7 linked regions of the Mus musculus genome follow. The protein of the gene in region 5 binds, or shares a complex with, the protein of the main gene of each other region. Links are inferred from orthologs where the notes say so. Each region holds a gene or a part of one and is shown on either strand. Other genes may lie near its edges. The genes, in order: Med20, Cdk8, Med4, Med8, Med13, Med7 and Med12.

Region 1 (3,500 bases), on a different chromosome or scaffold from region 5:
CTCCTGCACCACCATGACCCAGAAGTACTAGCAGATTCCTGCTGGGCCATTTCCTCCCTGACTGATGGTCCAAAGCAGCGCATTGAGATGGTTGTGAAGAAAGGAGTTGTTCCCCAACTTGTGAAGCTTCTAGGAGCCACTGAACTGCCCACTGTGACTCCCGCTCTAAGACCCAAAGGGAATACTGTCACTGGAACAGATGAGCAGACTCAGAAAGTGATAGATGCAGGAGCACTTGCAGTCTTTCCCAGCCTGCTAACAAACCCCAAAACTAATATTCAGAAGGAGGCCACATGGACCATTACATTACATTACAGCTGGACACCAGGAACCAGATACAGCAAGTAGTGAATCACGGCCTAGTCCCCTTTCTTGTTGGTGTCCTCTCTAAGGCAGACTTTAAGACACAGAAGGAGGCCATGGGCTATAACCAACTCTACCAGCGGTGGGACTGTTGAGCAGATTGTGTATCTCGTTCATTGTGGGATAACAGAACCTTTGATGAACCTCTTAAGTGCAAAAGATACCAAGATTATTCAGGTTATTCTTGATGCCATTTCAAATATCTTTCAGGCTGCCGAGAAACTAGGTGAGACAGAAAAGCTCAGTATAATGATTGAAGAGTATGGAGCCTTGGATAAAATTGAAGCACTACAAAGCCATGAAAAGGAGTCTGTCTACAAAGCCTCATTGAACTTAATGGAGAAGTACTTCTCAGCGGAGGAAGACCAAAATGTGGTGCCAGAAACTCCCCCTGAAGGCTTCGCCTTCCAAGTTGAGGATGGAGCTCCCTCCCAGGACCTTTAACCTCTAATGTCCAGCCAGGCACAAAGTGTTAGCCTGTGCTGTGCTAGTCTGTGTTCTCATAGAACTTACTGTTTCCCTACTAAGAACTCTTTTTAAATGTAGTTTGTTATTGTAGCACTTTTTACAAAAGAAACTATACTTGAACAGTTATAAACTTTACATACTCTTAAAAAAAAGTTTGTGTTTCAGCTTCGCTTGCTTACTAAATGATACATTTTCAAAAGGGAGGCCCTGCAGGCTTCTATCTTGTTTTATTGTTTCTAAAATCTCAGTCCATGCGGGACACATGGAAGGCTATGGATTTTCACTCTAAAGCTATCTCTCCATATGTCATTTTCAATACCACATATTTAGGTTCAATGTTGCAGGCCATCAGCCAGTCATGATGCTCGCTACCCAGCCGGCTAGCCTGAGTTCAATCCCTAGGACCCACATGGTAGGAAGAGAGAACGGGATGCTCTGATCTCTGTCAGTGTGCTATGGCGCATTTACATCTACGCCCACCATAAGCAAGTGTAATCATTTTTTTGACAAAGGCATCTTCTACACACATTCTTGGCCACCGTGAAAGTGGACAGATGCCAAAGGGAAAAGTAGAGTTTGTTCCACAGCTCTGGAGACCACTCATAACATATACTAAGGAGGGACACATGGGCACATGACTGACAGCCCACCTCAGACCACCCTCAGAGAGCTGGTACTCCAGCCCTTCCTGGAAAGGGTGCTGGTCTCTATATCTTCACTCCCCTCCTCTCCTTGCCTATGCCTTCAGTTTCCAGCAAGTGAGCATCTCTAAGCTTTTTACTTGCTGCGAACCCACTTCAATTCTGGGTTAGAGAGTGAATGACTAAAGAAAAGATAGAAGAACCCTAGAGCAGTGCTGGACAGATGGCCCAAAAGTTAAGATCACTTGCTGCTCTTAGGACCTGGGGTTGGTTCCTAGCACCCATATGGACTAACAACTTTAAAAAGTCCTTGACTCCAATTCTAAGGCATCAGATGCCCTCTTTTAGCCTCTGTGAGCACTGTACACATGTATTACAGAGTCATACATGCAAGCAAAATACCCAATATTCAGAAAAAAAAAATCTAAAAAAAAAAAAATCTCCTAAAGAAAGCTCCTATAACCCCATGCATGCATATACATATATGTTTCTGTTTCTTTTTGTTGTTGTTGTTGTTGTTTTGGGACAGGGTTCTGTTTCTTTTTTTGAGCTGAGGATATAGCATTTTGTTGGTACAGTACTTGCCTAGCAAGCACAAGGTCTGTTCTGCATCTCAGGCACCACACAAACCAGGCAAGGTGAAACATATGAAGACATAAGAATGAAGAGTCCAAACAACAACAACAACAACAAACAAACAAACAAAGAATGAGAGTCCAAGCCAAATGAAACTGTCTAAATAAATGCATAACCTAAGAAAGAAGCGGGGGAGAGTGGCACACTGCTGCAATCTCAGCACTCGGGGACAGAAGAGAGCAACATTAAGTTTGTCATCCTTGGCTACATAGTAAGTCCAAGGCATGAGACATGAATCACCACCTCCAGCCCTCCCACCGGGCAAAAAAATCAGCCACCAAAAAAGGACCCCTGCAGTGGAGCATGGGACGATACTGTCTGAGTCTACCTGAACTAAGTGGGGCTGGGAAAGCTTCCAGAATCCTTACTGTGGAGCCCACAGCATATCCTGCTTGTCCTTCACCAAGGTCTTACCTCCACAGAGATGCCACGGGCACTGGGCCCCATTGTGACCGTGCCCACCTTCACCAGGAAGTCACAATACTGGTAGCGAGTGCCCCGGGTCTCAATCTTGCTGGCCTTGGCACTCTGGAAGAAGCCCTTGAGCTTCACCATAAGCACATCGAAGTTGGTGTCAGCAATGAGGCAAGGGCCATTCTCAAAGAGGGCAAAGCAGCTCAGTGGGTACTCAGAGTTATGCATCACGTACATCAGCTTCCCAGCCTGGCCTGCAAGGGACAGATGGCCCACTCATCATCACGACCTTTGTCAACACACCCCGGGATAGGTCAAGTGCACCAAACAAGGCCAGCTGGCAGTTTGGCAGCCTGAGAGGGAAGGATCCTTAAGTGCTAGCCTTTTCCAGAGATGCGGGTAATTGGAAAAGCCAGCCAGACAACAGAGGCCAAACATACCCTACGAGCACCAGAAAATTCTTGGGTGCTGAGAAGAGTTGAATGGTATGTATGTATATACGAGGACTTTTTATCATGATTGATAACCCATAGACAGACGCTTTCTTTCTTTTTTTTTTTTTTTTTTTTTTTTTGGTTTTTCGAGACAGGTTTTCTCTGTATAGCCCTGGCTGTCCTGGAACTCACTTTGTAGACCAGGCTGGCCTTGAACTCAGAAATCCGCCTGCCTCTGCCTCCCGAGCGCCACCACGCCCGGCTATAGACAAGCTCTTATATATCATCATCTATAGTTTCAACAAAACAAGAAAAACCCTAAGGGCTGGTGGTGTTGCTCGGTAACAGATACTGGCCTCATCCTGAGTTCCAGCCCTAGAACCTCAACCATAAAACAGAAGGGAAACATCGGCATGCCTCTCTGGACCCTGCCAATGCTGCCTTTGAAATCTAAATGCTCTTACAGAGGCTTTGCAATAGGGAGCCTATGAACAGTAGGCTGGGACAGTAGACCACAGTCAAGCTGAGTCAAGTTTTTTCTGCC
Region 2 (3,063 bases), on a different chromosome or scaffold from region 5:
CGTGTAAGGGTCATAAGAAACACCGTGAGAGCTAAGGTTGACAGAAACCAAACACAACCACTCAATTCAGAGGGTTAAGGAGGGACCTGTGTGATCAAAGGCATGCAGTATGGGTGTGAACAGGGGTGAGAAGACTTGGAAATGCCACTCCCAGCAACCCCCCTTTCTCTTCTGGTCAGGCCTACCAGTACTGATTCCTCAGCTCGTGGACTGCGCTAGATTGTTTTTAAAGGGATGGCTTCAGATTTTGAGAAAATATCTGTTAGCTCTAAAAAGGAGGAACCAAGGGTAACGGAGTGGAACTACCATTACCAGAACTAGCCGACTATAAAGCTACCTGTCCCCTGTGCTACAGACCTAGACAGCTGACCAGAGTGCACACCTCAGCCTAAGCCATCAGTTGTCACCAATAAGTCACTGGGAAGAGTTATACAGAGGCATGTTTTAAAATACAACAAAAGACCCTTGGTGAATTTGAAAAATATAGTTGACACCATACATTGATTTATGAAAAATAAATTTATTACATAACACCTTGTTTTTAACAATGTTCAATTTTTTTTTATTCAGAATACTTGTGTCATTCATGTAAAATAGTTTGATACAGTACGTTGTATGTTATAGCTTTTTATTTTCCCCTCAAAAGTTCTAAGGCTCTCCTACTCCCTCTCCTTTGCTGAAGTAAGGGCACCCTAAAAATGTGCGAACAACCTTTTAAAAAGAAAGTTAACTGAACAAAATTGTAATAGCACTACACTAGGCAGCTTCAAATCAGGACAGAAGAGTGCGGACTGACGCCGTGCCTCGCAGAGGTCACCGTGCCTCGAGGAGGTCACCGTGCCTCACGGAGGTCGCCACTCATGCTTTTGTATTCAGAAAGCATGCTCACAAATCAGCAACACCAACGAGGAAAAGAAAACCCTGTCTGCAACACTCATTTCAGTTTGCTGAACCAACAGGCTTCTATCAATGACAACATATTTAATTACTATCAAATAGCAGCTTTAAGACCAGTCAAGTCGTCATAGGTTGAAAATAAAAACAAACCTCTAAGTTGGAAATTAATCTTTGGGAGCTCTGAAACCTGTCAGTAGAAACTATGTGGTTCTTTTGTACTTTCAAAACAATCCAAGCAATATTCTTGGTCATAAAACACTGATTTATGTAGAAGATGAATCAACCCACTGATAAGACACTAAAAAGAAAGGTGTACCAAAATAATCTTTAAATCTTGGTTATTTTGTTAACATAATCTGTGTTTCAAGTACCAGTTAAACCTTGCGTCTGTGTGTACTATTGGTCAGATCACGCTGTTACACTCAAAGTCACCACACACGAGGACAAATGCTCGCCCTAGCACATTTCACAGCTTCAACTGCTACAGACTGTCACTGAAAACTATGCTTGGTCAGTCTGAACCATGTCAAGTAAACTATGGAAGTAGCAAACCCACAACACAACTGTGCTAGCACTTTCATTTCAAGTCTAACTCCAAACTTAGGTACAACCTGGAAGCTACCACCCCAATCTGTGACAACTGGTGGAACTCGGCTACTGGACATTGTGAAGATGTGGTTGTACAGTACATTCGCATGGCCCACACCAGGTTCCCGCGAGTGCCGCAGCCAGTCCTGCAGCATGAGCAACAGTGCACTGACAGACTCCAGCACAGCTCAGTACCGATGTGTCTGATGTGAGTACTGTGGAGGCTGCTGGGAGGTAGCTGAGTATCCCATGCTGCTCTGGGGCTGTGATGTGCTTGGTCCAGGGTTGGGATAAGCAGCATGTGGATTGGAACGCTGGAAAGAAGACGAGGGAAAAGCGTGATTCAGGGACTTCTCGAGGTAGCTTGGCCCCACGCCATCAAGGCTGATAGGGAAGGGAATCTTGTTTCAAAGAAGCAAAGATGTATAAGTTTCTGTAAGGCACTAGCTTTAGAATTAAAATATAAAAACACTGGCTAAGCAGCAGCAAACCCCTCAGCTGGCCCATACAAAGCAAAACAGAGCAAAAACAAACAAAGCTCCCAACTCTTCCCACATCAGCTTCTCTCCAGGAAGGTAAGAATTGGGACACCATGTGGGCAATTCTGATCATATCTTGCGACATGAGCATGAGGCACTCAGTGTGTATATCCAGAGTATATAAAAGCTCGTAGGCGGACTGCAGAGATGGCTCAGCGGTTAAGAACACTGACTCTTCTAGAGGTCCCGAGTTCAATTCCCAACAACCACATGGTGGCTCACAACCATCTGTAATAGGATCTGGTGCCCTCTTCTGGTGTGTCTGAAGACAGCAACTGTGCACTCACATATATTAAACAAACAAACAAACAAACAAACACGTATTTAACAAAACAAAACAAAACAAAACAAAACAAAACAAAAAAAGCTGGTAGGCATGGTGGCTCTCTGTAATCCCAGCACTTGGGAGGAAGAGACAAGATCTGTAGGGGAAGCTGGTCGGCTAGACTAGCTAACATCTGCAAGCTCTGGGTTCAGTGTAAGACACTGCCACAGTAAACAAGGGAAAGACACCTGATATCAACTTAGGGCCTGAACACACACACACACACACACACACACACACACACACACACACACACACACACCACATTCTTACATCCACATGCCTGTGTGCCCACACATATAAAAACATACACAAACTCATACATCCTTCATGAGCTGCATTCTACCATGTAAGGGCACTTTCTGTGCAGGGCTTCCCCAGGCAGGCCACCATGTTCAGAACACACAGCCACTCAGTCTTCCCACAGCTTCACATTCTAGTCACTGTTTCTACTCTGCTGCTGCTGATGCCGTCTGCAAGCGATTTCTGTTCTACCTTCCTCCCCACACTTAAGACATGGAGAACATCCAGGTCTCTCTCTTACTCAAGGCTGAACAGAAGTAGGTGGGATCTAAGAGCCCGTGGCCTTGACTCCTCTTCTACAGTGCTCAGGAACAAAAGCAGCCATTGGCTAAGTTCAAGGCACACATGTTTAAGCTGACTTACCAACTTCATTTTATAGATGAGAAACACTGAAGCTGTGTTTTGCTTCAC
Region 3 (4,017 bases), on a different chromosome or scaffold from region 5:
GAAGTATTATTCAGACTTCAAGGGAGGGGTATTCTGGCACCTATTCCAATGTACATGAACCATGATAGCATTATGCTAAATGAATCAGCCTGCTATAGGGGCTCAGCATTCAGTAGGCTGTAATGAGAAAGTGAGTTCCTTCTTAGTTTAGGACTAGTTTACACAACAAGATTCGGTCTGAAAAGAAGGAAAGAAAGAAAGAAAGAAAGAAAGAAAGAAAGAAAGAAAGCAAGCCAACCAAACAAAGCCCAAATCCCCCAAAACCAAAAAATAATAACAAGCAAACCCCCAAGCCCCAAACTAGAACATGTGATTCTACTCATTCAAAATGCATAGAATAGCCAGACAAACAGAAAGTACAGTGTGGTTTTCAGGAACGGGAAGTCAGACCTTCATGAGCACACCTTTTTTACATTTTACAAGTTGAAGAGTTTTGGGGATGTTATTTAGCCGCAATTTTTTGTTTGTTTGTTTTGTTTTGAGACGAGGTTTCTCTGTGTAACCCTGGCTGTCCTGGAAGTCACTCTGTGACCAGGCTAGTCTCTAACTCAGGAGATCTGCCTGCCTCTGCTTCCTTGAGTGTTGGGATTAAAGGCATGCCTCACAACTGCCTTGCTTAACAGCAATTTAGTGGCAGTGAACCCTACACATACAATGGTTAAGATACTGAATTTTAGTAGCGGGGCATGGTGGTACACCCCTTTAACCCCAGGACTCGAGATGCAGGCAGATCTCTTGAGTTCGAGACCAGCCTGGTCTATAGGCCAATTATATGTATTTTGCTACCAAACAACGGAATGGGGAGGGAAGAAAAGATTTTACTTCCTGCTCTAAGTTTACTACAACTTCACGAGAGACCAAACTTGATGGCTGGGATTTTATCGGAATACAGACAAAATAGAAGTTAATAATTATGTAATTTCCCCAGTTTAAAAAAAAAATCTTTTGTTAGAAGCCTTCCACTGATGCTGAGGAAATAAAACCCAGGAGACTGGGAACTGCATCTCTCATCCTGGGTCCGGTTGGAGCATGTCAGATTGGAACGAGTCACAAGCCCTCCTTTGCCCTGTAGATGGCGCTAGAACTGTAGTGCACCTCCAGGCACATAGGCGGCGCTCTAGCCGGACCTCTCCGTCCCGACCTCTATTACTCTTCTTTCCTTCTTCCGGTTCCGCCCCTCCTGTGGCTAGCTCACACTGCGCATGCGACGGCTGGTGGTCAGCGGGGCGATGGCGGCTTCTTCAAGTGGTGAGAAGGAAAAGGAGCGGATGGGAGGCGTTTCGGGAATGGCCGGCCTTGGCAGTACGCGAGAGCGGCTTCTGTCTGCGCTGGAAGATCTGGAGGTCTTGTCGAGGTAACCGCGGCCCGGGAGCCTGCTCCGGCCGGCTCGGCTGTGGGCGCTGACTTGGGTAGGCGGGCTTGGGAGGCTCCGTTGGACGTGGGGTCTAGGGCCTTCGGGGGCTTTGGGCCGCATTTCCCCGCCAAGGGGACATCTCAGTCACATGACCTGGAAACCAAGGCAGTCAAAACTTTAGTAGCCGGTAAGAGGGGCAGATCCGAGCCCCCTCAGTCATTGACACGCAACAGACATTTAAAAGCACGCTTCCCCCCAGTAGTCAAGGGGAGGCTAGATGCCAACACGAAGGAGCCCAGGGTGACAGGAGAGACAAATGTGTTAAAACGCTATGGACCAGATTTCTAAGGGTTGAGCCGCAGCCTCCTGCAGTCCACCGATGGGATTCCTATTCTGGTGGTAGCAGGGCACACGTCCCCAAGAAATGGGCTGCTAGTCAAATCAGATTTGTTAGGCGTCTGATAGATAGCCCATCATCTGAAAAAGCCTGGAAACATCAGGCAGGGCACAGTGGGGTTGGCTGGTGTGTGGCCGAGATAGAGTAAATTGGATGTCACACTCCACATCGTCGTGATAGTCTTAAATCTATCAGTTGAAGTCTTATCAAGGGAAGGCAGCCATGGCCACCGTCTTACAAGAAAACATAATTTACACAAATGGCAGCACTATTGGCCTACAGACCTACATAGTTGAGTCAGGAGGTTTTCTTGTAAATCACAGCTGAGTCTTTATCACGTGCAGTTAGCCAGCGAATGCTGAAGTGTTTGTAGTCACCATGAGAGTCCAGCATGTTAGGAGGACCATAAACCCAACAATCGGTTGGGGCAGGGAGCAATTTAAACAGTTTCTTTTGTGTTTCTACTGTGTTATGAAAAGGTTTCACTAGATATCTGAGGCTGGTCTGAGTCCTCCCAAACACTGAGTTTACAGGCAAGTATCACCATACCGTGATGGGTGTTTTTCTTTTAGGGAACTCATAGAAATGCTTGCAATTTCAAGAAATCAGAAGCTATTACAGCTGGAAGAGGAAAACCAGGTAAACTTTTTGTTGTTGTTTGTTTGTTTTTTATTAAAAAGTTATTAATGCCGGGCAGTGGTGGCTCGCACCTTCAATCCCACCACTTGTGGGGGAGTGGCAGGTGGATCTCTGACTTCCAGGTCTACAGAGGGAGTTCTAGGGCAGCCAGCACAGATAAACCCTTTCTTGAAAAAAAAATAAGAGAGATAAGTTAATGTTTGAAAGTTCATATTTATTTTGTGTGAGAGTAGGGATGCTTCTTGAAGTCTTTTAAGTTGATACTTAAAAAAAAAAAAAAAAAAGCATTATTTTATTTTTGGGTTTTTCTGAGATTGTCTCACTGCCTGTTCTGTAATTCCGTAGACCAGGCTGGTCTCAAACCCACAGCCCTTGGCCTGCCTCTGCCTCCGAGTTCTGGGATTAATAAAGGTCCGTGTCAGTGTGCCCGGCACATTGATACTTTTCTTTATAGCACTTATGTAACACAGTGCCTATGAAAGTTCCCAGCCATACATAGTGGCTCACACCTTAAATCCCAGCACCGGAGTGTCCCAGGGAGACACATCGCTGTGAGTTGACGTTCTTCCTGGTCTGGATACAAATTTTATTCCTTACTTTTGAGTTAATCAACACAACCTTACAAAATGGAGACAAAGATAGAATGCTGGGAGGAAGTTGTTATTATAAACACCTGTATGTTGCTGCTTTATCCCCGTGAAACTTGAATGGAAATCAAAGATCCTCTCACTCTTACACGCTATGTATACTGTTCATCCATTCTCTTTCCTTTCCTTCCCTGTGCTTTCTTCCTTTCTCTTTTTGGAGTGTGTGTGTGTGTGTGTGTGTGTGTGGAGGGGTAGTGTTCAAGACAAGGTTTCTCTTTGTATGTAGCCTTGGATACTCTAAAACATACTCTGGTCACCACAGGGTCATAAGAGTGGGTGAGCTGCCCTGCTTCCTGATGGCTACAGCGCTTAGGAGAATTGACGCCGCACCTCACCAGGACGGCACAGTAGAGCTGTCCCTGGGTGGGGGAGCATAGGTGACCCAGCCCCGAGCTGGCCCAGCCATTCATCTACTGTGAGGTTTCCTGGGTGTGGGGGGGAATGCCCCTTACCACCTACAGTAGTTGAGAGAGCTGGCCCTGCCCCTTGCTGCCTGCAGCACTTTGGAGAGTGGGCCCTGCCACTTGTCTGTTATGAGGTGGTGTGGGTGCAGGGGTGATGCCCTCCCCCTCTTCCCCTGTCATCTGTGGTAGTCTGGAGAGTCGGCCCCAAGGCATGAATATAGGAGACTTAGCCTTGCCCACTCCCTAGCTGTAGCACTCAGGAGGGTGGGTCTGCACCACCTGAGCTAGAGCTGATGGTGAAGGTATGGGTGAGCCAGCCCTTAGGGTGTGAGAGCAGGAGAGCTGGCCCAGTCCCTTGACTGGGCAGCACAGTGGAGCTGGCTCTGGAGGAGTGTGTGCAGGCGAGCTGGCTGCTGCCAATGGTGGCACTGGGTGGCCTATTGGGAGTAGTGCTGAGAGCTCCCTGATGGTGCAGATAACAGGGAGCTGCCACCCAGGCCCAGATCCAAGTGTATTTTTCCAGTGTCATATCTCACACCTGCACCCTTTGGGAACCGCCATCCTGCCTCCTTATCT
Region 4 (4,075 bases), on a different chromosome or scaffold from region 5:
TTTTGTTTTGGTCTTTTGTGAATCTCTACCTCCACCCCTATTCTGGGGACCCAGGACTTTGTGTCTGTTCTACCACTGAGCTAAATTCTCAACCCCACATTTTAAAGACTGCAGCAAAGTCACAGGCAAGCAGGACAGACTTTTTTCTTTTTGCCTGACATAGATGTTGGAAAAGGAAGGTCGTGGACTTGGTGAGATAGGCCCTGATTTTCACTTCATTCTTTAAGGGGGACTCTCCTGACCCCAGAAGGATAAAAACAAGTCTTCCAGACGGCAGCCCTCACCTTTCATGGCCACACAGAGGATCCAGTCAACAAGATACTGTGTGTCTTACCATGAGGTCTTCGTCTCGGTCTGGGGACAGCACCAGAGGGATGATGACCTGGTTTCGGAACAGTGGCGTCTTCTCATGCTTTAAGACCTTGTTCAGAGTGTTCAACTGTCCAGAAAGCAATGCAAAGCTGTCCAGGACAGAGGGCCTGGAGGTGGCGAGAAGTCACCAGAGTTACTTCTCCCTACAAAGTAACCTCTAAAAGTCCTAATGCTGCAACACTCAGACTCACCCCGAAGACTCGCAGCCCTGTGTCTGGCATAGGCAAGAACCAGATTTGCTAGTAGAGATGGAATTGGGAAAGAGGAACACACTTTCAATTTTTGACATAGATACAGAAAAAAGGCAACCCACTGTTTGACTGGGTTTGGGAGCAGTGGAAACAGGGGCTGTGGTTACACTGTAGTAAGTCTGTAAAGCCTCCTCCCTAATGTAGTAACAGACTCTATCATTCCAGAAGGCTGGATCTCAGATCCAGCCTCATGTGTGGAAGGAGAGCCACCATAAATGGAGCTATAATGGTCTTCCACTGAGGAAATGCCTCCTCACTAAGGAAGCCAAAGCGTAAGAATTAAAACCTAGAAACAGCCTAGGTTGGGAAACTGGACATTTTTCTACTTCCTTGCCATGGAGGCTTTAAGCCAAACTAAACTTGTCAATGTTGGGCAACCTAGTTCTTTCCAAATCAAAAAGGATATTTGCAAGTTGATAAATGGGTACATCGCTGGAGATGTCCTGTCAGCCAGGGGGCTTGGCCCCACCACCCATGGATCCCTCCCCAGCTTGTCCTGGCAATCCTTACCAGGTCAGCCGGTCATACTCGTTTTCCAACTTGTAAATGAAACTCCCCAGTGAATTCTTCAGATCGGCCACTTGATTCAGCAGGGCATCTAATGATGCCTCAAGCTGCTTCTCCTCCCTCTGCATCAACAGTGTGTTTGGTTACTCAGATACAAGTGAGCGTGACACATTCAGAAAAGCTAAATTGTTTTCTATCTTGGTATTTGGGTTACAGATAGCATCAACCCTTAGACCTTTCAACCTGTTCACCTGGCCTGAAGTCCTCCTACTAACTGATTCCTCTATAACCCTCCTACACTGTGGTCCTTCAAGAAGGTCATTGCACCAGACCTAATTCTCTTTGGCTTGAAACCTCATGATTTGTCTTTGTAACAAAACTGGCTTCGAACTCACTTAGCCTTGCACCTTTTTAATTCCATGCTCTCCTCCTCCCAGCTCTCAAACACTGCCTCTCCCAGTAGACAACATTCTCTTAGATTTGCAGTAGGGTTAATAGGAACGTGCTCAGGTTTCTGCACACTCTTCTTTGTCAGTTCCTCTTCTGGAAAATAGATGTGGCCTGCCTACCTCACGACTGCTTATTGTCACTGCGCTGCTTTCCTTGGGTGGATGAGAATCCCTCGTGTCACTCTGTGGTGTTGGCATTGACACAGTTTTGTTTTGTTTTTTTCAGGAAGTTCAGTTCACCTCAGAAAGGTTTGCCATGATAACAGGGGTGCTATCTGCACACACAGCCTAAATAATTCCCGAAGTTCATTATATCATGGGTGCCTCTGGTCATCCTCTTGTGAGTGTAGCTACTGTCAACCACACAATCTGGACAATCTCACACGTTGCCTCTCTGTAAGGTTTTCTCTGAATACCAGCTCTGCAATCCCCTTCCCGGTCCCCCAACTGGCCGTTTATCCATAGCATTTGGTGCTTTGGAAAGTCAACGTGCATCTTTGTGCCAATATTCCCGTGTCTCTTTCATAATTCGGGTGACCCATAAACAGTGTAGGTTTATCAGATGCAACAAGCCAAGTGAGTAATGAAAGAGTAATGAAAGACAAAGGCGAGGAAACCTGCACATTGTTTCTGAGTGTTAGACAATTTTAAACGCTGAGGCGGCAGAGGGTTTCCGTTTGACTATCTGAGGACTATTTACCCCACTTCTCCGCCCTTAGCAACGAGGTACAAGCCGGGAAGAATGATGCAAAGCTGATTTGCAAACCTGACTATGTGACTGAGGGGGTTGGACACCGGGTTCCACCCACAGCCTCGAATTACAAACAGCTTAGTTTTCATCCTTGGAGGCCCACGATCCCTTTAGCCTTCTGAAGCCTTATGACGCCTGTGTCCAACAGCCTAGATCGAGGCGTGCGGCAGCCCACTACTTTCCCGAGCCTTCCCAAATGCCACCACGATCCTTTTCCACGCTCAATCAAGTCCGCCTTTCCTCCCCGGGCCTCCGACCTTCTCACATCAGCGGGCTCGATGCCCGCGCCTCCCGCAGCTGGCCTCGCTCTCTCTGGCTCCGCTGCCTTTCCTCTGCCCTCCGCTCACAGCCCCAACTCCCCGGTGTCCTCAGCCCAATCACCCTCCCGCCAGCGGCTATAAGGCCCAACCCGCTTCTCACCTGCATTGCCGCGGCCCGGCGGGCGCAACCACTTCCCTTTCCGGTTTCTCGCACGGCTTGCTGCGCTCACCAATCAGAAAACTCAAAACGGGACCATCCCAACAACTTCCGGTTCCTGCCCGGTACAGAACTAGCCGGGTCAGAGGTCAGGAGTGGAGCAACCTCCCTGGCCCGGGCCGGCGCGGGAGGGCTGTGTGATGGCCTCGGAGCGCCCCGAGCCAGAGGTGAGGGATGGGCGGGCGCGGGGCCGAGGCCCGAGGGCGGGCGTGTGGCAGCCTTCACCCTCCGGAGCCTCAAGGAGGCCGTTGCTGTTTTGTTTACTCAGATGCCATCCTGATCTTCGTCGCCCATCCACAGACTTGTTAGCGATAGTGATGCTGATAAAAACTCGTGTTTTGGTTATTAGTTGGGATTTTCATTGTGCCACGCCGAAGCTGACCGACTTTGCGGGGTTTTTTGTATCTCATCTATTGGAATGCAATCAATAGCATGAGTTGATTTCGCTCTAGCGTTCGTGCTCTTGGCAAAGCCCTACAACCCTCTGGCCAGTCTTAACTTAGGACAGACCCTGCTTCCTTCTTTATAAAAGTATTTGTTCTGTGATGTGGCTTGGGGATCACAAGTTAAGGCAGAAAAGGCAGACGAGGCACCCGCCCCCCCACCCCACCCCCCACCCCCTAGATGCAAAGAACCCTATATGTATGTTTTGACATTCAGACTCCAGCAGGGAATCTGGCAGTATTTATTGTCATGTACAGAGCAGACAACTGAAGTCAGAGCAGGTGAGGTGTCATGCCATGCAAAGATACCTTAGGACTACTCCTTCCAACTGAACGAGCGGATCCGAGGAGGTACCAAATTTGGCTAGCGTGTCCAGGACCCCAGAGGGATAGCCTTGTAGGAGGGAAGGTTGATGCATGTGCGTAACGATACAAATAGCAATGGCTACTTGTCGAATTCTTACTGTATGCCAGCCACAATTCTGAGCTCTTTACTGTTACCAGTTCTTTCAACCCTATAAGGCAAACACCATTATCATCCCTCTTTTCAGGAAACTGAGGTGCCACTATTAAAAGAAGCATAGTTGTGCAGCTAGTATTGGGGCTAGAACTCCCAGGTAGGTGAGCTCGCTCTACAGCTACAAGTTGTCCTCTGACCTGCACACGTGCACTCTGACACGGGTGTGATCTTATATATGTATAATGTATGAGTACACACACCCGTGTATGGGGAGGATGTGATAAACTACACACATGAAAACCCTATGAGTGAATAGGGTAGAAACAGAATACCAAGAAGAAAGGGTGATGTTTAGAGAGGCTAGG
Region 5 (3,500 bases):
AAACGTTTTTCTGCTTCTTTCCCACAGTCTGTGTTACGTCCTATGATGTCAAGTTCATCTTCAAGAAATAATCCTGAATTATTTCCAAATTTTCGGTTCATGACAGCACTGAAGCCACAGGTGCACCGATACTGTGCTTCTTGGGTTGGGTCTGGAATGTAAACTCCAACATCGGCACCCTTGATATTCATATTGCAGACACAAATACAGCAACTATCAAAATTACAGTCTTTAAACAAATTCATTACTGATTCTGAAAGGATGAGGTTTACATAAAGACTGTGCGCTTCAGGGATGGAAGGAACAGTTGCAGGTTCAACAGAATTGAGGGGTCGGCATGTAGATGGGGTGGAAGCTGGTGAATACAAGTCTGAATTCTCATACTTGACTGAACCTTGAGCACTAGCAGGCCCACCAGCCCCACGAGGGGTCCTTGGAGTCCTTGGAGTCCTTGGAGTTGGAAACCTAGGGGTGGATGGGGAAGGAAGAATTCCTGCACCACCATTACTAGGAGGTGCGCTGCTCGGAGGCATCCCAAAAGAAGCATGGGTTTGCGGTGTGTAGGCGGGGCCATAGTCCTGATCCAAATTACTGCCATCACTGTTGTCACCAGGGTAAAAAGAGGAACAAATGCATAAAAGAACACATTAATATATGGAACACAAAACAGCATCCTCCATACACTTCCAAGCAACACTGGACATTTCTATATGGTAATCATTACAAGATTACAGGGAGAAATAAGACTTATTTCAGGTTTACTGTGAGCACTATAAAGATTCTTGTGAGCTAACTAGAATCAAAAATAATAAGCAACCAGATTCAAGATTATAAAATGAAGCAGTGACTAGAACTATGGCTTGGGAGTTTAAAATATTTGCTGCATTTTGGGGGGCCATAGGTTCAGAGGTTTGGTTCCCAGGACCCATATCAGGAAGCTCATATCTGCCTATTAACTCCAGTTCCAAGGTGTCTTGATGTCCTCTGGTCTCTGTGGGCACCTACACATATGTAGTGCACATGAAGTCATGTAAGGATACACAAAGACTTAAAAAAATTCATGAAGCATCCACATCTGGACAACCATATTTACTATCTATAAATTTCTAATGCTACAAATATCCATACTTCATTGACTCTAATTGCTACTGATAGCAAAAAATAAATTCTGACTTTTGGGATGTTTGTGTTAGAAAGTGGTAATAGTGAATGTTTTGCTTTGATTTTTTGGTTTGTTTTTGTTTTCGATTTTCTGAGACAGGGTTTCTCTGTGTAGCACACCCTGGCTGCACTGGAACTCAATCTATAGACAAGACTGTCCTTAAACTTGATCATCTACCTCTGCTTCCTGAGTGCCACTATGTACCACCACTGCCCAGTTGGCCATAGTAATTATAAAAATGTGACTGGTAATAAAATGCAAAACTTTATCTGTTATGATGTGAAGTAATTGTAAAATGGCAGTATAAAAAAGAGGACAATTCAGAATCAAAGGCTAAAAGAAAAGGTACCTTGAAAATCAAAAATGGTCTATGGTTTCTGGTCTATGGTCTCAAAGAGTTAATCCATCTCTATTATCATTATGATAAACAAGAATCATTTTAAATTTATTTACTTAGGATTTCCAAAACCAATGTTCTATTTCCAGCATACCAGCTACTTCAAGAAAAACAAAAGCTGAGCTGCAGAAATGGCTCAATGGGTAAAAGTGCTTGCTGTGTAAGCTGAAGACATGAGTTCAGATTCTCAGATCCCATGTGATAAAGCTGAGCATGACTAACTAAACAAGCTATAATCCAGCACTTGGGAGGCAAAGACAGGCATATTCCAGGAAGCTGCTGGTCAGTCTGCTTCAACAAAACACCAAGTTTCAGATCCAATGAGAAACCATGTCTCAAGTGAGTAAACGGCAACACATGTGGCTCGTACTCATGCAGAGTCTCCAGTGCCGCCCTCTAACACACACGGGCACTCACACACACGCTCACACACACGCTCGCGCACACACACCCCACACAAGCAATCAGTATTATAATAACATCATCAATCATACCCCTCCTTGATGAATGGCATTGAAGGGCCTGAAGGAAGCAAGTCCAATTTTCCAACAGTCCAGCTCTGCCGGTAAACACACTCTTCTGGCAATTTGATAGGAGGCAGACAATGGCTTGGTAGAGTTTTTAAAGGTGCAAACATGGAACATCCTACTAGAACTTGACAATTTTCGGGCTTATAGACATAAGAAAAATCCTACAATATAAAGAACGGGGACTTTCAGTGCCTTATATTCCAGGGACAAAAACAAAGAAACAGAATCAAAGCGACTATCTTCTCTAGCCTGTTCTTTAAATGGACAAAAGTATAAATATTATCTGTTTTTATTCTTGAATGCATTTTACATAGTGGTCCCACAATTCCCTCCTCATATTTATTAGCCATAACACTAAAATCAACTGTGAAAAAATTCTTAAACACAGCAATTAATCCTATAAGAAAACACAGGGAGGAAATGACTTTTCTAGAAAATACTTACTTTAATTTCAGACGGTTTAGGGCTACAGAATCCTTCCTCGACCTCGATTCTGAACTGCGTTCCTACACTAGAGCTATTTCCTTCCAGGACAGTCCCTCCGGGTGCTGTGTCCACACTACCGTATTCTTTGTTATTCATATTCATTGGAGAGAAGCCCATAATGTGCTGTTCCAGTGAGGGTGGCGTGGGGTACATTTTGTGGAGGTCTGCAGTGCCTGTGTGTAGTACAACACCCATGTTAACAAACTAAAAGAGGTGAGTCTGTTTACAGTGAAGGAGTTTTGAAAGGAGTTAAGTTTTTAAGCCAAGCTGGAGCTCAGATTTGGGATGCTTACTTATGCAGGACAACGGATCCAGATTTCCTGTCTTTGATTCTTTGGAGCTGGCTTTATCATCTGATCCACTTGCTGACTTTTTAGATCCAGGCTATGGGGGGAAAAACATATTAATGTGAAACCCAAAGTGATCACACAGTATTATTCGCTTATATGTAAGTTAAAGGATTAAGTACTGGTCATCAAAAGTGGTTTTCTGAGTCTACGACAGAGCTAAATATCATACTAGACAGTTTACAGGTAGATCCATCACTGGAGTGCATTGGTAAGTCTTGGGATTAACAGAGAAAAGGGCATCCTCAGGAAAATAAGCAATAAACAAGTAAAAGGCAAGAAAGGTAAAATTAACACAATTCTTTTTTTAGCAAAAGATATTCAAAGAATCTGTCCCTTAATTTAAAAGATATTAAGATTTCCTAAATAATTAATAACTCCTCTTAATTCTTTAATTTTCACCTTGGTTTAATAAAGTTATTCTAGCAAAAATATTTTTACAGATCTAATACTGAGCATAAGTTCAGGGAAACTTCCTAACAAACCAAGTTTTAGCATCTCTCACCACCAACATTTTTTGGTGGATTGGATTGTTTGTTTTTTGAGATAGGTAAAGCCTTATATAACCTAAGTAGGCT
Region 6 (3,261 bases), about 40 Mb from region 5:
CTGCTCTGGTCTTAGGTTGGTACTTTTTTCTCTCATCAGTGAAGTTTCATGACACAGTAACAAATGTCACAAGACCCTCTCCCTCCCTCACACCCTGCCCTGCTCTTCTCCCCCCCCCCCCCCCAGTATACTTTGCCCGGTCTGTTTTTGAGAAATTGACAAGTCTTCCGTGCTCTGGAAGGATTGTTTTGTTTTTGTCATTACTGGTATTGTGGGTGCCTGTCTTCCACTGAAATGTGGCCTATATCTGAAGATTTTTCCCGCAAGCCCCAGTAGATAGAGAGCTAATGTGGGCTGTCCCAGCTTCCATTTCCCTCAGACATTCTCTATAGAGGAAAAAGATGTAGCTTTTGTTTTATTAACTACTGTTGAAAACCCTGAGGAAATAAAGGAAAATACATGGATGTTAACATAATATTTAATTAGAACATAATTGATAGCTATTCACTGCTGTAAATGTTAATTTTAAAATCTAAGATCATCTTGTCTTGGACTGTGTACTGTCAGAAAAAGGAAGAACATATTCTGAAGTCACTAATTGGGGGCAGCAGGAGGAAGGTGGTGTTCATGATTCTGTTCTGAATCGTGCTCTGTTTCTTTAGGTTCTTGATTGTCTACAATGGGTGAACCACAGCAAGTGAGTGCACTTCCACCGCCTCCAATGCAGTACATCAAGGAATATACAGATGAAAATATTCAGGAAGGCTTGGCTCCCAAGCCTCCTCCTCCAATTAAAGACAGCTACATGATGTTTGGCAACCAGTTCCAATGTGATGATCTTATCATTCGCCCTTTAGAAAGTCAGGGCATTGAACGGCTTCATCCTATGCAATTTGATCATAAGAAAGAGCTGAGAAAACTCAATATGTCTATACTGATTAATTTCTTAGACCTTTTAGACATCTTAATAAGAAGTCCTGGGAGTATAAAACGAGAAGAAAAGCTAGAAGATCTTAAGCTACTTTTTGTACATGTACATCATCTTATAAATGAATATCGACCCCACCAAGCAAGAGAGACTTTGAGAGTCATGATGGAGGTCCAGAAACGCCAGCGCCTTGAAACAGCTGAGAGGTTTCAGAAACATCTGGAACGAGTCATTGAAATGATTCAGAATTGCTTGGCTTCTTTGCCCGATGATTTGCCCCATTCAGAAGCAGGGATGAGAGTTAAAGCTGAGCCGATGGATACTGATGATAACAGCAATTGTCCTGGACAGAATGAACAACAAAGAGAAAGTTCAGGTCACAGAAGGGACCAGATTATAGAAAAAGATGCTGCCTTATGTGTGCTAATTGATGAAATGAATGAAAGGCCATGAAGAATATTCCTTTTTTTCCTTTTAGTAAGTAGCATCATATATTAGTTTATTTCCTCTCAGACAGTCTTAAGAGGTATAACTAAAGATACTAAGAGACTTTTTTTCAATTGAAATGCTGTAGGTGGTAATTTAACACTAAACATAGGCCAGCAAGTATATTTGAGTAATTGCCATAAAAAAGCTGAATGTTTGCTATTGTTTGAGATAGTCCTATTTTTTGGAGTTGGAATAAAAACTTGAAGTAATAACGAATTGTCATTCTTGGAAAAAAAGTTATTTGCTTCGAGACTAATAAAGGGCATCAAGTGTACATGTGAAATTATAAAATGTTTAGATTTATTCCAAAATAATATAGAAAGTTTATTTTTCTGATTACTGTTCCAGCAAACTCAGTATCACAGCTTTTCTCCTCCTTATTCTCCATAGAATATTTGTTAGGGACTCTTTTTTTGCCCCAGTCAGGTAATGATGTGGTTATGATCCAATTCTATGAGAAATGTACATACTTCACCTTCACAGATGGATACAGGCTTCCCCCAAAAGATAACTCTATTGAGTAGCTATTCAGTCTCAACATAGCTTCTTTTCTGGTTTGTGTTTGCTAAGACTATCCTAGTCTCTTAGCCATCATACCACCCTCAGAAGAGTCTTGCTTCCAAAGTAATCTAATCAGAACACCTTGTCCAGTTTATATCCTTTTCAAACACATGTATATGTTGGTAGCACAGTTCTAATCACAAAGCTACCCACAACTCAATCCGTCTTTAGTCATTACAGATGAGGAAGTAGAGGTTCAGAGAAGTTGACTTAACCAACTAATAAGTGGCAGAATCAAGTTAGAAAGTAGGTATTCAGTTTCATAGCCAAAGTACTGAACTTCATTCTCTATCCTCTAGTCTGTCATACTGGAAATCATAACTAGAGCTACTCCAGTTTTCTAATCTTGAAATCCACCCTAGTAAATACCTCATGACACTAGACTCAAGAGGATACATTTGTTGATTGGAAGAATGACTTCTCTTTAAACATACTCAGGAGGCAGGGTTTGTTGGTTAAGACTTCCATATCTTAAGATGGTGCTTGTAATTCTACCTAAAAACCCTTCTTAGTAGGTAATGTTCCTAACTAAGACTCATAAGAATTAAAACTTCACATTTATGGTTTGGTTGGGCAAGAGTCTATGTGGGATAAGAAATCGGCAAAGATTTTTCTTGTTTTGCCCCCTTCTCCCTTTTTTGGTTCCTTGTCATCTTCATCTGGTGGTAAACTTACTGTACAGCCATTTAATAGGCATTGAAAGGTATACAATTTCTCTTTCATAATACTCATCTATGGCTTGACAGCAGTCATAGACAATAGGTAAATGAAAGCACTGCTCTAATCCAACTCTCATATATGAACAATTGGAATAAAATATGGACGCTGAAAATTGAAACTCAATTATCCAGGAATTTTGTGAGATATTTTGAGTTTTTGGGCCACCTAAATGTAAATTTCTACACTCTTGGGAGTTGAAAATCAGATCACGGAGTAGATTTGGCTGATGGCCTACATGGTTTAAATCCTGAAACATCACTGAGATACTAATGGAGGGGCAGTAGGTAAGGGTGCTAGCTTAGAATTCATGGTTGAAGGAAAGAATGGACTCTTGAGAGTTACAGTGAATACACTACAGAAATAAAAACAGCAAAATCTCCGTAGAATTGTTTTAAGGATTGAAAGAGATAACAGCTAATATTCTTACCACTTGTTAAAAGTTTTACTTATTTTTGGCATTTGTAGCCCTGGCTGGCATGAAACTATATAGACCAATCTGGCCTCAATCCAAATCCTGCTACCTTAGCTGCAGTGTTGGAGTTCTAGGCAGGTGTCACCACACTCAGCTTCTGGTTTTACTTTTCATTTGGAAGTAACTGGGAACAATTATGGGGCTCCGTGTG
Region 7 (3,500 bases), on a different chromosome or scaffold from region 5:
CAAAAGTGACTCTGAAGGAAATTTTGGGTTGAGAGTGAGAAACAGTCACTCTGGGAAACTGCCAAGGTGGGTTGTATGAAAACATGGGGTTCCAGCAGGTCAGGGAGAAACAGGTGTGGCATCCTGCTTGTCTCTCTTCCTGCTAGAACTAGTCGGAACTTCTGTCACATCACATGCCATCTCATGCGCACAGACAGCAACTATTTAGAAATGTTCCCTTCAGAGAAGTTCTCTAGTTAGCTTGGTGTATTTGTGGGGACTACATGAGACGACACAATGACAGGCATTGTCTGGCATCTCTACCCTACTCTCATCTGGAGTGTTGTGGAAGGATGATGGGGTTGCACTGGTTTCTCTCCAGCCCAATGAGCCCCCCCTCTAGTGGCACATCCCCAGTGGGAAAAAGGCTGTCATGAAGCTGCACTGTTGAGTTGAGGACCAAGGGCTTGGAGCTCATTCGGGTTGCTTTCGAGCAGGGAACCAAGTGTAGCAGTGCAGCGAGAACTCAGAAATGCAAAGGCAGAGGGTGAGGAGGGAGACGATGCAGAAGGCATGAAGCTTCTTAGTGATTCATCCTTTCCCCGGTACTCTCACAGGAGACCCTTCCATGTGTACATTCACACACTTCTTTTGCAAAGAAGCTCTGTGTATTGAGTGCAGCAGCTCTAGGATCTCTATATAAATAATATACAAAACCCAACAGTTCAATGTTTCACATTAACAAAAATACTAAAAATTCATTAAAAATGGAGCCTGAGGGAAGGACCCCAACCACTACTGGAGCTCGCCCAGGAAGGGGACTGGGAATTAAGCAGAAAGGCTGGGCCACATCCAGTGTACAAGCAGTTCCTCCAGGTGACTCAGTAGCGTCCAAATATGTTGGTGCTGGGCTGTGGCTGGGTATCTGTGAAAAATGAGAGACTGTCAGGGTAGAAGGGCTCATATTCATAAGGAAAGCTAGTGGGCTGGGAAGGAAAGGGGAAGGGGGAATGGGACCTCCACAATCTGGACCTGAAGCGAGCACCTCGGCCACCTCTGCCTACCCCATCCCCTCTTCCCCAGATTCTTCTTTGGAAGGATATAGGCTTACTAGAGAGCTGTTGTTGAAGTTGCCGGACCAAAGCTGCTGTCTGTTGCTGCTGCTGGGTCTGCTGCAGGCCCTGGCGCTGGAACTGGATTAAAAATGGAAAGTGGAAGATAGAACTCCAACTTTCCAGCTCCTTCACCCATTTTAACCTATTAGTGTTATCCCTGACCTCCCAAAGCTACCCCATTACACACTGTTCCTAGTGGGGATTGGCTATGTGCCCATCCTGTGCAGCTAGCCCTGAGCCTGTGGCTATAGATCAGCAGCTACCTGGGGCTGGGACTGGGGCTGGGGTTGGGGAGGAGCTGCCTGCTGCTGCTGCTGGTGTGGCTGCTGCTGCTGCTGTTGCTGTTGTTGTTGCTGCTGCTGCTGTTGCTGCTGCTGCTGCTGTTGCTGTTGTTGCTGCTGTTGCTATAAGCACATAAGAGATCATTTTAAGAAGAGCAATGGAGCTGGGACTTTGTGTTGAAAAGATGGGAGCAGGAAGAGGAAAGGGAGTTGGAGCCAAGAAACAGTGAGGGAACTCCAGGTCCACAACTGAAAGAAACCAAATAGTATAACTGACAAAGACTGTCCAATTTCCCTCCTCACTATGATTCTCAGGAAATGAAAAGAAAAGGAGTCGGGAGGAAGCCACTTAAGCACCAATGCTGAACCCATTATGAAGGCATAGGCCTATAATTCCAGCATTCAGAAAGCTGAGGCAGGAGGATTGCCATGAGTTTAAGACTAGCCTAGGTTATAGTATGAGACCCTGTCTGAAGCAACCAAAGAAAAGCAAAGTACTAACATAGGTCAGCCATTGTGCTCAGTGCTTACTACATTACCTCACATTTCATCTTGGGGATAGTGTGGGAAGAATATGTCCTTTCTTTCTTGAGTTCTCAAGTGTCTGACACAATCCCATGGCCTTACCCGTAGCATCTGCTGCTGCTGCTGTTGCTGTCGGATATGGTACTGCTGTTGTTGTTGCTGCTGCTGCTGCTGCTGTTGTTGTTGCTGCTGCTGCTGTTGCTGCTGCTGCTGTTGCTGCTGCTGCTGTTGTTGTTGCTGCTGCTCAGGCAGGATGGAAGTTGAACGGACGCCTGCCTGGACACCCTGGGCACTCAACGGAGTCATGGTACCCATCATGGGTGTCTGCTGCAGTGTCTGGTGTGAAAACCTCCAAAGACAAGAGGTCCAAAGGTCAAAGCACAGGGCAGGGAAAGGGGGTGGTGCAAACCCTGGGTCCCTGACCTGAAAGAAACTAACACGTCATTGTATTCATTCGTCTTGGCACTAATGAGAGGAGCCCTTTTGGAGTCTGACAGATTTCTAGGTCAGAGAATAAAACACAAAGACAATACTCCATTTTACTGTCTCATAACCTTAATGCTTAGGAATTTTTAGAATCTGTTTTAGCTATTTTTCTCTCATGAAAAACTGTCTGCACATGATAAACATTCTATAAACACCTATCAAGGGTTTTATGGCTGCTGTTGCTCCCCAGAAACACACCCAGTTGTTCTGCTATTCCATATGCCCTTTCTACCTAAATCTGCAGATCCCTGAAAATCTGCAGCTGGGCTCCCTCTCTTCCGTCTTCTCACACCTTCCCCTACATTCCATCCATTCATTGCACACTAACCCCTTAACACACCAAGCCCTTCCTATCACTCTCCTGAGCAAAGCAGTCCTTTCTGGTTGTGTCTCAATGCCATACCTCAGTATTCAATGTCATAGTCAACTTGCCCTCTGTAAGCTAGGCCCAGCTCCCTCTCTAGCATCCATTCCACACTACACTTAAGATCTGCTCCTTTCTGTTGCCACTCAATCCAGTCCCATGTTTTGGCTCATGCTGCATCCTTTACCTGGAATGCCCTTCCTTTTCCACTTCTCTACAAATCGCAATCGTAGTTATCTCAGAGAGTCCATGAGTCCTTCTCCAGTGACTCTGATCTATACTGGTGGTAGCCCACCTCTCCTCAAGTCCCATTTTCCTCCTGGTACCCAACTGAACACCTGATTATGGCTTTGTTCATACCATTCTCTAAAGGTTCCTCTGCACAATATCTTCTGTATAAGACCTCTTCTTCTCAATTAGGGTAAAAAATCTTTGTGGTGAGGAACCATGTACTTCTTTTTCACTATCTTTCCTCACTCTAGTCCCTGCATAATGCTGGCTACAGAGCAGGCAACTAATCAGGCCACTCGAGAGTATTCTACAGCCTAAGTTACAGAGCCTCAGGACAGTTGCCCAGGTCTTAACTAAGATTTGACTAAAGTTAGCCATGAAATTCATTTGTTAGTCCATTCTAGAGCTCAACTGCTTTTTCTTTCCTTGAGAAAGGGTCTCATGTAGCTCAGGCTGGCCTCAAACTCATTATATAGCCCTGGATGACCTTGAACTTCTGATCCTCTTCCCTCACCTCTT

What was found.
Region 1: Med13 (region 5) and Med20 share a complex: the UniProt entries of both Homo sapiens proteins name them as parts of the mediator complex. The link is inferred for Mus musculus from reciprocal best matches to the Homo sapiens genes MED13 and MED20.
Region 2: the proteins of Med13 (region 5) and Cdk8 are in contact, whole or in part, in a cryo-EM structure (PDB 8TQC), measured with the Homo sapiens proteins. The link is inferred for Mus musculus from reciprocal best matches to the Homo sapiens genes MED13 and CDK8. Residues at the interface, in NP_005112.2 of Homo sapiens: Thr1616, Met1617, Asp1618, Arg1619, Lys1621, Val1622, Gly1623, Ile1624, Pro1625, Thr1626, Asp1627, Gly1628, Asp1629, Ser1630, Val1732, Lys1733, Thr1734, Leu1735, Thr1736, Gly1737, Phe1738; in NP_001251.1 of Homo sapiens: Leu9, Glu12, Arg13, Arg71, Lys74, His75, Pro76, Leu81, Gln82, Lys83, Val84, Tyr133, Asp137, His140, Tyr141, Met330, Gln331, Phe335, Leu336, Leu340, Pro341, Thr342, Ser343, Asp344.
Region 3: Med13 (region 5) and Med4 share a complex: the UniProt entries of both Homo sapiens proteins name them as parts of the mediator complex. The link is inferred for Mus musculus from reciprocal best matches to the Homo sapiens genes MED13 and MED4.
Region 4: Med13 (region 5) and Med8 share a complex: the UniProt entries of both Homo sapiens proteins name them as parts of the mediator complex. The link is inferred for Mus musculus from reciprocal best matches to the Homo sapiens genes MED13 and MED8.
Region 6: Med13 (region 5) and Med7 share a complex: the UniProt entries of both Homo sapiens proteins name them as parts of the mediator complex. The link is inferred for Mus musculus from reciprocal best matches to the Homo sapiens genes MED13 and MED7.
Region 7: the proteins of Med13 (region 5) and Med12 are in contact, whole or in part, in a cryo-EM structure (PDB 8TQC), measured with the Homo sapiens proteins. The link is inferred for Mus musculus from reciprocal best matches to the Homo sapiens genes MED13 and MED12. Residues at the interface, in NP_005112.2 of Homo sapiens: Ser157, Glu158, Thr336, Val337, Pro339, Gln340, Ser341, Gln343, Lys344, Trp345, Lys347, Phe348, Asp1186, Ile1189, Leu1190, Gln1193, Asp1194, Pro1332, Ile1333, Thr1335, Leu1337, Tyr1340, Asp1341, Tyr1342, Asp1343, Tyr1344, Leu1345, Val1346, Leu1347, Ser1348; in NP_005111.2 of Homo sapiens: Ala3, Phe4, Arg12, Pro13, Arg16, Leu86, Thr123, Thr127, Thr150, Pro152, Val153, Met154, Arg155, Phe242, Pro278, Leu281, Arg282, Arg356, Pro357, Phe360, Gly361, Cys364, Gln367, Thr368, Cys372, Pro407, Glu408, Phe413, Val417, Lys1526.

The regions. Positions count from the first base shown.
Region 1 is NC_000083.6:47,618,085-47,621,584, reverse strand, and holds part of Med20 (mediator of RNA polymerase II transcription subunit 20), read right to left. Parts: intron 2,777-3,500; coding exon 2,523-2,776; coding exon of another isoform or gene 2,508-2,522; exon of another isoform or gene 1-2,507. Other genes in the region: Gm20517 (predicted gene 20517), read right to left, coding at 2,523-2,776. UniProt on the Homo sapiens protein: Component of the Mediator complex, a coactivator involved in the regulated transcription of nearly all RNA polymerase II-dependent genes.
Region 2 is NC_000071.6:146,300,312-146,303,374, reverse strand, and holds the end of Cdk8 (cyclin-dependent kinase 8), read right to left. Parts: intron 1,800-3,063; coding exon 1,674-1,799; 3' UTR 501-1,673; downstream 1-500.
Region 3 is NC_000080.6:73,508,832-73,512,848, forward strand, and holds the start of Med4 (mediator of RNA polymerase II transcription subunit 4), read left to right. Parts: upstream 1-1,217; 5' UTR 1,218-1,229; coding exon 1,230-1,354; intron 1,355-2,323; coding exon 2,324-2,390; intron 2,391-4,017. UniProt on the Homo sapiens protein: Component of the Mediator complex, a coactivator involved in the regulated transcription of nearly all RNA polymerase II-dependent genes.
Region 4 is NC_000070.6:118,408,062-118,412,136, reverse strand, and holds the start of Med8 (mediator of RNA polymerase II transcription subunit 8), read right to left. Parts: upstream 2,801-4,075; 5' UTR 2,757-2,800; coding exon 2,751-2,756; exon of another isoform or gene 2,588-2,750; intron 1,253-2,587; coding exon 1,134-1,252; intron 612-1,133; coding exon of another isoform or gene 564-611; intron 480-563; coding exon 335-479; intron 1-334. Other genes in the region: KICSTOR complex protein SZT2, read left to right, coding at 2,948-2,974. UniProt on the Homo sapiens protein: Component of the Mediator complex, a coactivator involved in the regulated transcription of nearly all RNA polymerase II-dependent genes.
Region 5 is NC_000077.6:86,298,597-86,302,096, forward strand, and holds part of Med13 (mediator of RNA polymerase II transcription subunit 13), read right to left. Parts: intron 2,960-3,500; coding exon 2,869-2,959; intron 2,749-2,868; coding exon 2,534-2,748; intron 2,251-2,533; coding exon 2,054-2,250; intron 601-2,053; coding exon 1-600. UniProt on the Homo sapiens protein: Component of the Mediator complex, a coactivator involved in the regulated transcription of nearly all RNA polymerase II-dependent genes.
Region 6 is NC_000077.6:46,439,961-46,443,221, forward strand, and holds the end of Med7 (mediator of RNA polymerase II transcription subunit 7), read left to right. Parts: 5' UTR 1-15; intron 16-602; 5' UTR 603-619; coding exon 620-1,321; 3' UTR 1,322-2,761; downstream 2,762-3,261. UniProt on the Homo sapiens protein: Component of the Mediator complex, a coactivator involved in the regulated transcription of nearly all RNA polymerase II-dependent genes.
Region 7 is NC_000086.7:101,294,591-101,298,090, reverse strand, and holds part of Med12 (mediator of RNA polymerase II transcription subunit 12), read right to left. Parts: intron 2,250-3,500; coding exon 2,003-2,249; intron 1,499-2,002; coding exon 1,358-1,498; intron 1,173-1,357; coding exon 1,091-1,172; intron 905-1,090; coding exon 861-904; 3' UTR 1-860. UniProt on the Homo sapiens protein: Component of the Mediator complex, a coactivator involved in the regulated transcription of nearly all RNA polymerase II-dependent genes.